Lonchura striata: one gene and its partners. The protein of the gene in region 2 purifies or fractionates together with the protein of the main gene of each other region. This does not show direct contact. Links are inferred from orthologs where the notes say so. Each region holds a gene or a part of one and is shown on either strand. Other genes may lie near its edges. The genes, in order: TRAF7, MAP3K2 and YWHAE.

The links.
Region 1: the proteins of MAP3K2 (region 2) and TRAF7 purify together in Homo sapiens (affinity purification with mass spectrometry; 3 studies listed by BioGRID and IntAct, with this or other methods). This does not show direct contact. The link is inferred for Lonchura striata from reciprocal best matches to the Homo sapiens genes MAP3K2 and TRAF7.
Region 3: the proteins of MAP3K2 (region 2) and YWHAE purify together in Homo sapiens (affinity purification with mass spectrometry; 6 studies listed by BioGRID and IntAct, with this or other methods). This does not show direct contact. The link is inferred for Lonchura striata from reciprocal best matches to the Homo sapiens genes MAP3K2 and YWHAE.

Annotation. Positions count from the first base shown.
Region 1 is NC_134618.1:16,965,492-16,969,236, reverse strand, and holds the start of TRAF7 (E3 ubiquitin-protein ligase TRAF7), read right to left. Parts: upstream 2,701-3,745; 5' UTR 2,593-2,700; intron 1-2,592. UniProt on the Homo sapiens protein: E3 ubiquitin and SUMO-protein ligase that plays a role in different biological processes such as innate immunity, inflammation or apoptosis. Potentiates MAP3K3-mediated activation of JUN/AP1 and DDIT3 transcriptional regulators.
Region 2 is NC_134610.1:14,453,284-14,457,028, reverse strand, and holds the start of MAP3K2 (mitogen-activated protein kinase kinase kinase 2), read left to right. Parts: upstream 1-1,259; 5' UTR 1,260-1,360; intron 1,361-1,581; exon of another isoform or gene 1,582-1,667; intron 1,668-3,745. UniProt on the Homo sapiens protein: Component of a protein kinase signal transduction cascade. Regulates the JNK and ERK5 pathways by phosphorylating and activating MAP2K5 and MAP2K7. Plays a role in caveolae kiss-and-run dynamics.
Region 3 is NC_134622.1:6,750,122-6,753,866, reverse strand, and holds the start of YWHAE (14-3-3 protein epsilon), read right to left. Parts: upstream 2,168-3,745; 5' UTR 2,036-2,167; coding exon 1,972-2,035; intron 1-1,971. UniProt on the Homo sapiens protein: Adapter protein implicated in the regulation of a large spectrum of both general and specialized signaling pathways. Binds to a large number of partners, usually by recognition of a phosphoserine or phosphothreonine motif.

The DNA of each region.
Region 1 (3,745 bases), on a different chromosome or scaffold from region 2:
TGTGGCAAGCACATTTCTCTCTCAAGATTTTTCATAGAGGTGCACAGAGAGAAATGAAAGAGAAAACAATTTCTATTTCTGCTCCTTGTTTTGCCCATGTGGAATGTGTTTGGAGAATTGTTTACCTGGGGTGATTGCTTGATTAGATTCTGGTGAGGATTGTTTGAGCCTGACAGCCAATCCAACCCACCTGGGGCTGCGCTCTCAGAGAAGGTCACGAGTTGAGTTAGGGTCAGAGAAAGTAGTATGTAGTTTTAGTACCCTCCTTTTATATAGTATATTAATGTATTTTAGCATAGTTATAATAAAGAAATAATTCAGCCTTTTGAATTGAGTCAGACATCCTCATTTCTTCCCACTGGGTTCACCTGCATTTACAATAGCTGTGCTTGAGGCAAAGCAGGAGCAGCTTGAATGGGTAATTTGGGGTGCTGCTGCCTTTAGGCTCCAGGGGGACTTGTTGGGCTCAAAGAGGGGTGACACGTACCCGTGTGAGCATCCAGCTGCCTCCCTCCTTGTCCCAGCTTCCCTACACCCCCTGATCCAAGCCACGGGCACAGGGACTGCTGGTGTGTGCAGATAAAAACCGGGAGGGAAGAGCTCCAACAGACTGAACACGGACCAGGAAGGATTTTCTCTCCTGTGCACTCCTCCTGCCACACCTGGGCTTGGCCGGGATAACCCGTGAGAAAGGCACAGTCACGCTCCAGGAAATGCCACAGCCAGGCCAGCAGGGCTCGGAAGGTCCCTGGCAGCAGGGGAAGGCTCAGCCCTCGGGGTGACCGATGGCTGAACCCCACTGGGGCTGCAGAGCGCCCAGGAGCAGCCCCAGGAGCAGGGCAGGGCTGGCAGCAGCACACGGAGCTCTGCAGCCACCCAGAGCCTGCAGGGCTCCCCGAGGCCCTGGCAGAACCTCGGGGAAGGGAAGGGCTGACTGCAGGCAGGGGACACAAACTTCCACCTGCAGCTCACACGTGGCTCCAGGCCACCAGGGGCTGTGCTGCCCCAGGAGTGCTCACCCTGGAATCCCCCAGCTCAGGGAACCAAACCACCCCAAAACCATGGATTGGTTTGTTGTTTTTTTTTCCTTCCTTGAGCCCAATCAATATGAAAACCCCTGTTTGAGTATGAGCAATGAAGGTATCAGCATCCCCTGCCTGGAAACACCACTGTGGCTCAGGTTTCCCATTTCCACGGGGTAAAACGTTCCCTCCTTGAGGCAGTGTCGCCTGCACACAAACCAAACCCAGCGCTGGAGCTTCAGCCTGTCCCTTCCCTGCTCCACACAGGGGACCCAGGGCCTGGAGGGAATCCAGCAGACTGCAGACAGGACCCGCTCCTGCAGCTTCCTGCAGGATTTTAGGGATTTCCCTTGCCAGGGGAGGTGCAGGTTGCACATCAGGAGGAATTTCCTCATGGAAGGGGCTGCCCAAAGAGGTTTGGAGTCTCCATCCCTGGAGATGTCCAACGTGGCACTCAGAGCTCTGGGCTGTGATCAGTCACAGGATGGACTCTGTGGTTTTGGAGATTTTTTCCAACCTAAACAATTCTGGGATTCTGTGATCTGAGACTACTTTCACCCATCAAAGGCTTTCTGGAACCATCCTTCACCCCCAAACCCTCTCCTGCAAGCCCCACCATCCTCGCTGTGGCTGGAAGGAGCAGCCAAAAACACTTGAGGCCAAAATGCTGCAGCTTTTAAAGCTGTTTAAGAGGAACCCGAGTGCTCAGTGCAGCCTGGAAACACATCGCTGGGGGGGGAAAACACGCAGGGAGGCAGAATTACACTGCTGGGATTGAAACAAAGGCACAGCAACGTTACCAAAGTGGCAAAGACAACTGCTGGGTCACAGTTCTTGGGACAATTCTGGAGCCACTCCTGTAACACCCACCGGCCCTGCCGCTGCCTCTGAGCCCAGCAGAGCTCCAAAGGAAGGGGAACCCAAGGGAAATGCTCCCCGCTGCCCTTCCCAGCACACGGCTCAGGGATCCCAGAGTTTGGCAGCGTTTGTCAGCGGGACAGCGGCTGCAGCGGCGGGGGACAGAGCCCCAGAGCTGGCTTGAGGCGAGGTTGGCACAATGCACAGCCCATAAGGGCAGGGGACAGAGCCCCAGAGCTGGCTTGAGTAGAGGACAGGTCGGCACAATGCACAGCCCGCAGGTCACAGCCCCGACCCACACCTGCACCTCTGCGGCAGCCACGGAGAGCCACTCCCGGCCAGCCCACGCTGTGAACACTGTGGGCCCAAAGCCCAGCGAAACGAGGCTCCCGGGAGGGCAGGGAAACACCGGCAGCAGCAACACGTGCTGCGGTCGGGCACGGAACGGAGCGGAAAACGACAAAACCGAGCAGAAAAAGCCGCAGCTACGCGATGACACCCAGCCAACACACCGGCGGCAGTGAGCGGGGCCGGAACAGCGCAGAGGATGCTCCAGCTGCTCCGAGCGCCCCACAGAGCCGCCGGCACCCCGGGCACAGCGGGCGGCGGGCACCGGGAGCCTCCGCCGGCCCCTCCGCGGCCCGCGGCCCTGCCCCTCCCGTGGCGGAGCCGCCCGGCGCGGCCCGCCCGGCGCCCCCCGGCCCGCCCGTACCTCCCAGCGGCGGCGGCGGCCGCAGCGCCGGTGCCCGGTCCCGGCACATCGCGCCCGGGCCTGCTCCTCACCGGCGCCCGGCCCGGAACTGCCGCGCGCAGCGCTCCTCGGGACTTGTAGTCCCGTGCGCCGCTTCCTGCCTGTTCTGCCGAGTCGCATGGACTACAACTCCCAACACGCCCCGCGGAGAGCCACTCCATGCTACAACCGCTGTTGCTACTGGTTCTGCCCGGCCTACTGCAGTGACCAATCAGAAGGTGGCAACTACCGCCTCGGGCCACGCTGCGCTGCGCGTCGCCATTGGTGGAGAGGAGAACAGCGACCAATCAGCGCTGCTAGAGGTGGGGCGGTGGTCACGCCAACCGCTGGAGATTGGCTGTGCCCACAGCAGGCTGACCAATAGTGGCGTGGCAGTGGCCATAAAAAACGTAGCGTGGCGCGAGCACGTTCTTTCCAGCCAGAGGCGCGGCGCAGGAGAGGACGAGGGGTGAGGGAAGCGCGGCCGGTACCGGCGCTATTACCGAGGGCGGGCCGGTGATGATCCACACTAACCTTTCTGACACCTCGTCTGAGGGCGGCGGGCGGCCGCAGCCCCTGCTGAGCAGCCCCTGCTGAGGCCCGCGGAGCCGCGGCCCGGCGGGGCGGCCGGGCGGGCTCTGCCCTCACGCGCTGCCTTCTCTCCCCTCAGGGCTCGGCGGGAACCGGCGGCGGCGTCCCGGAGGCTCCGTGCCCCGTCCCGGCACTCCCCGGCGGTCTGGGCCGCTCGAAGGCGGCGTTCGTGATAGCAAAAAGGTTTTTAAATCGTGGGGATTTAGGGTTAGAAGGAAAATTAAGCTTATTAGGCCCTGAAAAAATACCCTGGGTACATGTAGGCCTTGTACATTGCTAGAACAGCACCTCTGTAGCTAGTACATTATAAATGATATAATTGTTAGATGTGATGATTGTTTAGTAATTAAATATAATTACTGTTTAATCGTAAGAATAATCATGAGAAACTGGTCAGAGGCCTAGGGAAGTTCACGAGAAACTCGTGCTTGAATAAAGTCAATGTATACAACAGAACAATGTTAGCTTAATAATTTGTAAGTTACAGCAAATATTAATGAATTAATAATTAAATATTAATTAATTAATAATTTAAATTCGCAAA
Region 2 (3,745 bases):
TTCTGTTCAAGTATTATTTCACATGTTTGTTAAGGGTGACCAATGTAGCCCCCAACCCTTGTTTTGGGTAGATTTTGAGTGCTTGTTCAGGATTTGCAAACCTCTTGCTGTCTTACATGTTAAATACCTCTTAGCACATGCCCAGAAAGCAGCATGTGAGCAGCAGTGGAGTCAGGTGCCCCAGCAAAGGTCGCTGCTGTCTCTGTACAGCTCTGTGTGAACACACCGGGCCTGGCAGTGTCTCAAAGGGCATCCACTAAACATGCACAGGTCATTTGTGCATCTCGCACACAGTAGTCATGCCTGTAAGGTTACTGGTAAATCTGTACAAAACTAATTACAGTGCCATGCTATTATTCACCGTCATCGGCTACTTAAGACCGCAAGGGTAGCTGTAATAGCTGGCCTGCTACGTACCAGGGACTGCTTCCTCGCTGATTAACTGAGGGTAGCATCCTTCTTCCTTGCATGCATTGACTTCCTGCGGGAAGCAGGTGCCTCCTGCGGAGCGGTCAGTCTGTGCCGGCAGAAATGGGCGTCCCGAAGGCGGCAGAGCGCCGTTCTAAACAAATCGTCCTAAAAGCGCGCACAGCCCCCATAAGAGGCAGGTCAGGGCGGCGCGTCCTGCGCCGGGCTGCGGCGGGGCCGGGATTTATACAGTGAGCGATGGCAGTGGTGGGACCGCGCTGCCCCTTCCCATCCTGCCCTCGCACGGCGCCGATCCCGCGGAACGGCACCAGCCCGGGCTTCTCTTACACTCGGCTGTCCGGGAGCGGTGAGCTGACCCACCGGCCTGTCCGGCGGCGCTGCGGCGGAGCCACACGGCCCCGGTGCCCTCGGCCCGGGGGTGCCGCGGGGCGTCCCCGGCGGGACTCGAACCCCGGGCGCGTCCCGGCGCGCACGCGCCCCCGCAGCCGCCGGGCGCGCGCCGCCCCCCGTCCGTGACGCCGCCGCGCGGTGACGCCTCGCGCTCCTCCCGTCACGGGGCCCGGCGCGCGCGGGGCGGAGCTCGCGGGCGGCAGCAGCGGCGGCCGCGGCGCTTCACGCCCGACGGGACCCCCGGCCCGGCCCGGCCCGGCCCCGCCGCGGCCGCAGCGCCCCCGGGCACCTGCCCGCTCCTCTCCGCCCGCCGAGCCGCACCGCTCCTTCCGCGCCGGCCGCGGCGCCGCCTGTCACCGTCCCCGCCGTGCTCCGGCGCGGGCAGGCCCCGGGCCCTTTCCCCCCCTCCCCCGGGGGGGTGGGCTCCGCTCCGGAATCCTGGCCGCTCCCTCCGCGCCGCCCGCCCAGCCGGGGCTGCTCCCGCCGCCGCCGGGAAGCGCGGGGGGTCCCCGGCGGCCGCCCGGCCTCCGCCGTGACATAGGTGGGTGTGCGGGGAGGGGCGGGCGCGGCGGCCCGAGCGCGTGCGAACCGCGGGGCGGCTTTGCCCCGGCGCCTTGCGGGCCCCGGGCCGGTCCCGGAGGTGCCGGGGCCGGGGGCAGCACGAACCCGGCCCGGTGCGGGTGGAGCTGCGCGGCACCGTAGTTGTTTGCGGTGCCGGGAGACACGCGCTAATGTTGCTCCCTTACATTACCGCTGCATTACCTGAAGTGTTTTTACGTGCCTGCCGAGTATTTCTGTGTCACCCTGAACCTTCCTGTGTTTGCTCGCTGATGCTGTGGTTTCTCGTCTTGGAATTGCTCTGCAGTGGTAGTGCTGTGAATTGGGTATGTAGGTCAGATTCTGCGAGATGTTTTTGTCAGGGGAAAAAGTGAATGTTTGATTATTTATTCCCGTGTTGCTTTTGAAGTGCATTGCAGCACCCACGAGGTTGGGAGGTTTTTCTGCCTTTTTTTTCCCCCCTTGGTTTCTCTTGCTTCGTAAATCTCTTCTTAGTTTTTGGCTGTGGCATTACTGAAGATCAAAGCGCTAAATTAGCTGGGAGCTTCTAAGCTGTATTGTATCATGCACTGTCCTTTAAGAGGGTGGTAAAAGATAATAGAAGCCTGCCTTAAAACAAGGGGGATTTCTAGTCCGCGCAGAAAACGTCTCTCAACTACAGCGTTTCTTTTCTTTAAACAATGCAGCACGTTGCAGAGCGTTGGAGGCCTCCAGAATTGTATTGCTGTGTGTATGGCAGAGACGTATTACCAGAGTGAATGGCCACAGGCTTGTCTTGCACAATACCTTGGGTTCTCTTGTGGCGAAGCACTTACTAAGGAGATACCCGAGAAAGTATTCTTTCCTGTGGAATTCCCTAGGGATAATTCTAAGGGAAAGGACATTGATGAGCTAGTATTTGTACCACACTGAAAAACCTTAGAATAATTCTTTTTCGTCACTATCTTTTCCTGCTTTCACCCATACCTTTCCTTACCGTGACTTTGTAAATAACTGATTTCCTCAGAAATCTATTTAAAAGTCAGAACTTGCTATAATTCCTGTTTCCTTTACACTGTTTTCTGTAATGACTGCCACCAATACGTATTGACCCCAGATTTGATTCAGGTAGCAAAGCTGTGTATAATTAATTTGATCCTCCCCCCCCCCACCCCGAGGTTTTAGTGTGTGTTGATAAAGCAGAACAGGAAGATAACATTTGTCAGATTGACTCATTGCTTGAGAAGAAAAATCTGTGTAGAGTTTGCCTTGATGAACTCTGTGTTGGTATTTGAACAGGTGGTTTACCTGGCACTAATAGAAGAGCAAGATGAAGAAAATAGAAATTTTTGCATTGCTTGCCTTGGCTTGCTGAGATTTCTAAACTGTCAGAGGAATCTTTTTTTCCAAAATAGCTTGGTAATCTTAGGAGTTTTATAGTAAATGTTATTAAATAGAGAGCTGTGACAGAATTTATTCATGTAGTGAAATGAGCATTATGTTATTGTTTAATATCAGTAAGCAAGCTTTTTTGTTTTGTTTTTATGTTGATAATACTAATTTATGGTAAAAAATGAATAACCTTTCAATTTTGGTCATAGATGTATCAGGGGTTATTTGCTATGAATATTGGGAAAGCCAGTCAGTCCACATGCTTGTGGAATTTAAAGCCTAGTGACTCTAAATGCAGGAGAGATTGTTTTATTATAGTTTTCTCTGGAGGAAGCAAGCAAGTTGGTGAAGCAGAAGTTTTAGTCCACAGTTACAGTTTTTACATCACATTTTTTCCTGATCATTTCCTATAAGTTATTAATATTTAGATACAAATCAGAATTACTGGTTTTTAAAACCTTGTCATTAATGAGAAGTATTTGTGAAGGACTATGAAGAAAAAGGCTTTGAAATCTTGGCAATCTGCAGTTTTATATTTTTTTCTTTCATATTATAACTGTAGGCTAACTTTTTGCCTCAGCAAACTAAGTCAAAAGTCATGAGTAATCTGTTTTCGTGACAAGTTGTTTGGTGGCTGTCTAACTGGTCATCCTCTGAACTTAGATTGATTTCCTTCATTTGTTCCCCCTCTTCCACAACACACAGCCAATGGTGTTCTGATCTGTGGAGAAGTATCCATAGATCCCCATTTAGTTTGGAGTAATGAACATATTTTATAATAATATCTTCTTAGATATTCTGTACTACTAACAGTATCTTTTGTTTAGACTTGGAGAAAAATAAATGAATGATGAAAATGTGACTGATGTAGTTAAGTACATCTTAAATACATTTGCAGAAAATGTAATGTGTTTTCATATGCGTGACAAGCTAATGTAAATATGTGTATTGCCTAGTGACTCTAGGTTTGTCTAATTAGGCAAACTATTAGATTTGC
Region 3 (3,745 bases), on a different chromosome or scaffold from region 2:
TTTTTAATTGTTTCAGCTGAACAGGAACAGAAAATTAAATGATAAAACAGTATCTACGGTACATTTTCTTCCAGGCCATGGACACGAGGGAAGTGAAGATGCATTTAGAGCAGCTGGCAGAATTATGTTGACCCAACCTGATTTTTAAAACCTCTGGAAGTCCAAAACCCACAGCACTGATTTAAACAAGACAACTTCAAGTTGTAACAAGCATCATGCCCATTCAGAAACAATACAGCACAACAAGTCTTCCACATTTTGCTCTGGGCAGCTTGTTTAGCCAACATTCATGGTACTGGGAGAACCCAGGGAAACGCTGCACCAAGGCAATAATCCTTCCCAATCAATTTTTATCAGCTGACAGGAAGTTTGCATTGCAGATCTGTGCCACAGGGTAGAGTCCTATTACCTTCTAACAAAATGATTTACTGCTGACTTCAGAAAACCCCAGAAAGACAGTCATGCCTCAAGAGCTCCCAAGGATGATGATTCCTCCAGGATGTTTGGTTTCCACTCAAACCAAAGCCAACACTTTCAGTGGCACTGACTCATTCATACCAGGTGGAGAACCTTTCCTTCCCTCCTCAGCAGAAGTTGCACACATTCTGTGCAATATGCATGTGTCCCTCTGCACAAGGTAATTATGGTACCCCAATACTTGGTTTCTGGGAGGCATTTTCATTCTCCAAGTCTTTCAGTTATTGCAGAGACTGCCTGACTGCTTTCCTTTAGTGGTACTATGAATTCTAAACTATTTTCCCATCAGAGCTCTAAATGAATGGAGTTTTATTTAGGCCTTCTTTTTGTTTTAGTTTCTCTTTTTCTCTCCAAAACGTGTATTTTTCAGATGTTCTGCAATGGTGCCATCGGATGTTTTTTGCCATCAGATGTTTTTTAAGCACAACTCAGTAAAAATGTGTCATTTGTTGAGAACTTGGTCGTGTTGTCTACAAAAATTTTTGAACAGAAAGCATTTGGAGTGTCTTCTTACCTCTCTAAATGAGGTGTTACTGCATTCACACATTCTATATACATATATTTATTTCACTTCAAATGAGTAATCACAGCTCTCAGGGCAAAGTAACAGTCTCAGAAGAGTCGAGAAAATTAAAGGTCCTTTCTATTATATGCAGGGGAACCATGTTTAAAAAGAGAGGTTGCAAGACAGACATTTTTGGGGCAAGAGACACCACCCAGGGTTGCCAGTTCCTCCCCTCTACCACTTTTCCCCCAGATATTAAATCATCACGGATATTAAATGATCAGGGATAGCACACAAACTTAGAGGGGTGGGAAAAGGATAAAAAGAAAACGCTGGGTAAGTAAAACTACCTGTAATAATTTCTACCACATAATGAACGCGTTTTCTTTAGGCAGTGAATCATGTACTCGCTCCCTGCAGGGTGAGAACTCGCTCTCTCTGGGTTTGCCAGGGGCAGCAGGATCTCCAGCGGGGGTAGAGGCAAAAAAGAAGCGCAGCCCCGTCCCCGGGGACCCCCAGGAGCACGGCCGGAGAGGGGCCGAGCGCCGGGCTCCCCCTCCGGAGCGCTCGGCATGGGCGTTGTCTGCGGCGAGCCGCCCTCGCCCGGCGCCGCCCGGCCGGGGCAGCGCGGGGCCGGGGCCGGCCGGACCGCCGTGAGGGACAGCGGGGTCTCTTTGTGGAGCCCCCGAGGCGGGGGCGGCTCCCCTGCCCCCCCTCCAGGACTCGCCCTTCGCGGCCGCCATTTTATTCCCGGCTCCTGCCGCCACCGCCCCCCGCCCCGGGCCCCGCCCCGGCCCGAGACACCCCCTCGCCCGGGCCCCCCATCCCCGCTTCCAGCGGCCCCTCAGGGCGCTCCCCGTCGCCATTTTGTGTGCGCCCCCTCCTCCGCCCCTGCCCCCCTCCCCCGCCCAGCCGCCATTTTGTGGCCGCTCCCTCCCTCCCTCCCTCTCCCCTCGGCCGTGCACGGCCTCCGGAGCCAGCGCGCTCACCATCGTAGCGCTCAGCCTGCTCAGCCAACTTGGCCTGATAGACGAGGTCCTCCCGATCGTCCATGTCCTACGGGCGGGGCGGCGGCGGGGACTGCGCGGGGCGGATGGCAGCCGATGGGTCCGGGGGGCTCTGCAGCTACCAGCTCGCTGCTCTCCGGGCAAATATGGCGGCAGCGCCTCCTCCCGCTGCATCCGGGCACTCCCGCGGGCGCGCGCATGCGCCCCGCCGCCTCCCATGGCAACGGCGGCTCCCTGGCAACGGGCGGGGGGCGGGGTGAGGCGGCGTGAGGGGTGTGAGGGATAAAGGGAATGAGGCGGCGTGAGGGATGAAGGGGGTGAGGCGGTGTGAGGAGGGTGAGGGATAAATGGGGTGAGGCGGTGTGAGGGATAAAGCGGGATGAGACGGGATGAGTGATGAGGCGGTGTGAGGGGTGAGGCGGGATGAGGAGGGGTGAGGCGGTGTGAGGGGCGAGGCAGAGTGGATGAGGCGGTGTGAGGCGGGGTGGGTGAAGCGGTGTGAGGGGTGAGGCGGGTGAGGAATAACGCGGGGTGAAGGATGAGGCGGCCCGGCAATGGCGGGGATGGATCCGCCGTTCCCCCGCCGGCCCTGGCGGGGCCGTGACCGGGACATGGCGATGGGCAGCGGGCCCGGCCGCCGGTGGCGTTTCCCTCAGGGCGGCTCCATCTCTCCGCGTTTGTGCTGCCCTCAGACGCTGACAGCGCTGTTTGAGTTACCCTCTCTCGGAATCTGGGTACAAATCACCGCGTGTGCTGCACATGGAAGGGTGGATCTGTGACCGAAAGGCAGACGGACAGATACAGGTTTCTACAGCCTCTCCAGGGTATTTGCTCTAAGTATCACCTCCAGTGCATAGCACGAGGTAATTTCAGTTTCAAGAGGCTAGGAAATCTAGAAAGCAAATTTCACAAGTTCCTCACACAGTACTTCTGAAAAACAAAAGGAGCATTCACTTAAATAACTGAGATAATGCCTCAATTTCTGGAATTAGAATGGTTTTAGAAAAAGAAAAGGGATTATGCATGGCTGGCATGAACTTGATCTTCAAAGATCCCCATGCCTGCAAGTGTTCAAGTCCAGGCTGGATGGGGCTTGGAGCAACCTGGTCTCATGGCATGGCAGAAGAATTTGAATGAAATGAGCTTTAATGTCCCTTCCAACCCAAACCATTCCATGATTCTATGATTTGCTCAGGGTAGCTATGAATGAAGTCTTGTCTCTTTCCCCAGTGTCTCCTTGGAAGTGCAGACTACAGATGCTCTCCCATCATTTCACTGCTGGGAGAAGTGCACAGAGACCTCTGCAAGTTTTGACAGCAGAGACAGAGCTGCCCCTGGCACCTGCTGGACACAAAGTCAGGTATCCCCATTTATTGTATTGTGTGCACTGAAATGGGCTCCTGATGGGTGACTGAGGGCACACACCTTGAACACCATTCAAAGCACATTTTTTCAGTAGTTTATTGCTGGCCTGACTTATTTTTTTTCAGTTGATGAACAAGAGTTTTAGGGTCTGCAAGATCAGCATAACCTTATGTTTTTCTTACAAATAAATCTAAACATGTGACAGAATTATTTTTATATCACTTACTCAGAAAATAAATACTCTGTTTTCAATGGATACTTAGGCCCTCTTTTTCACAGATCAGGATCATCTAATCAGGATTTCTTAAAAACAAAGACATCATGGACTAAGGTGAAAATTAGGTGTCAAGTCCAGAAAAATATTTGCTTCTTTAGATTTATTCGAAGTAAG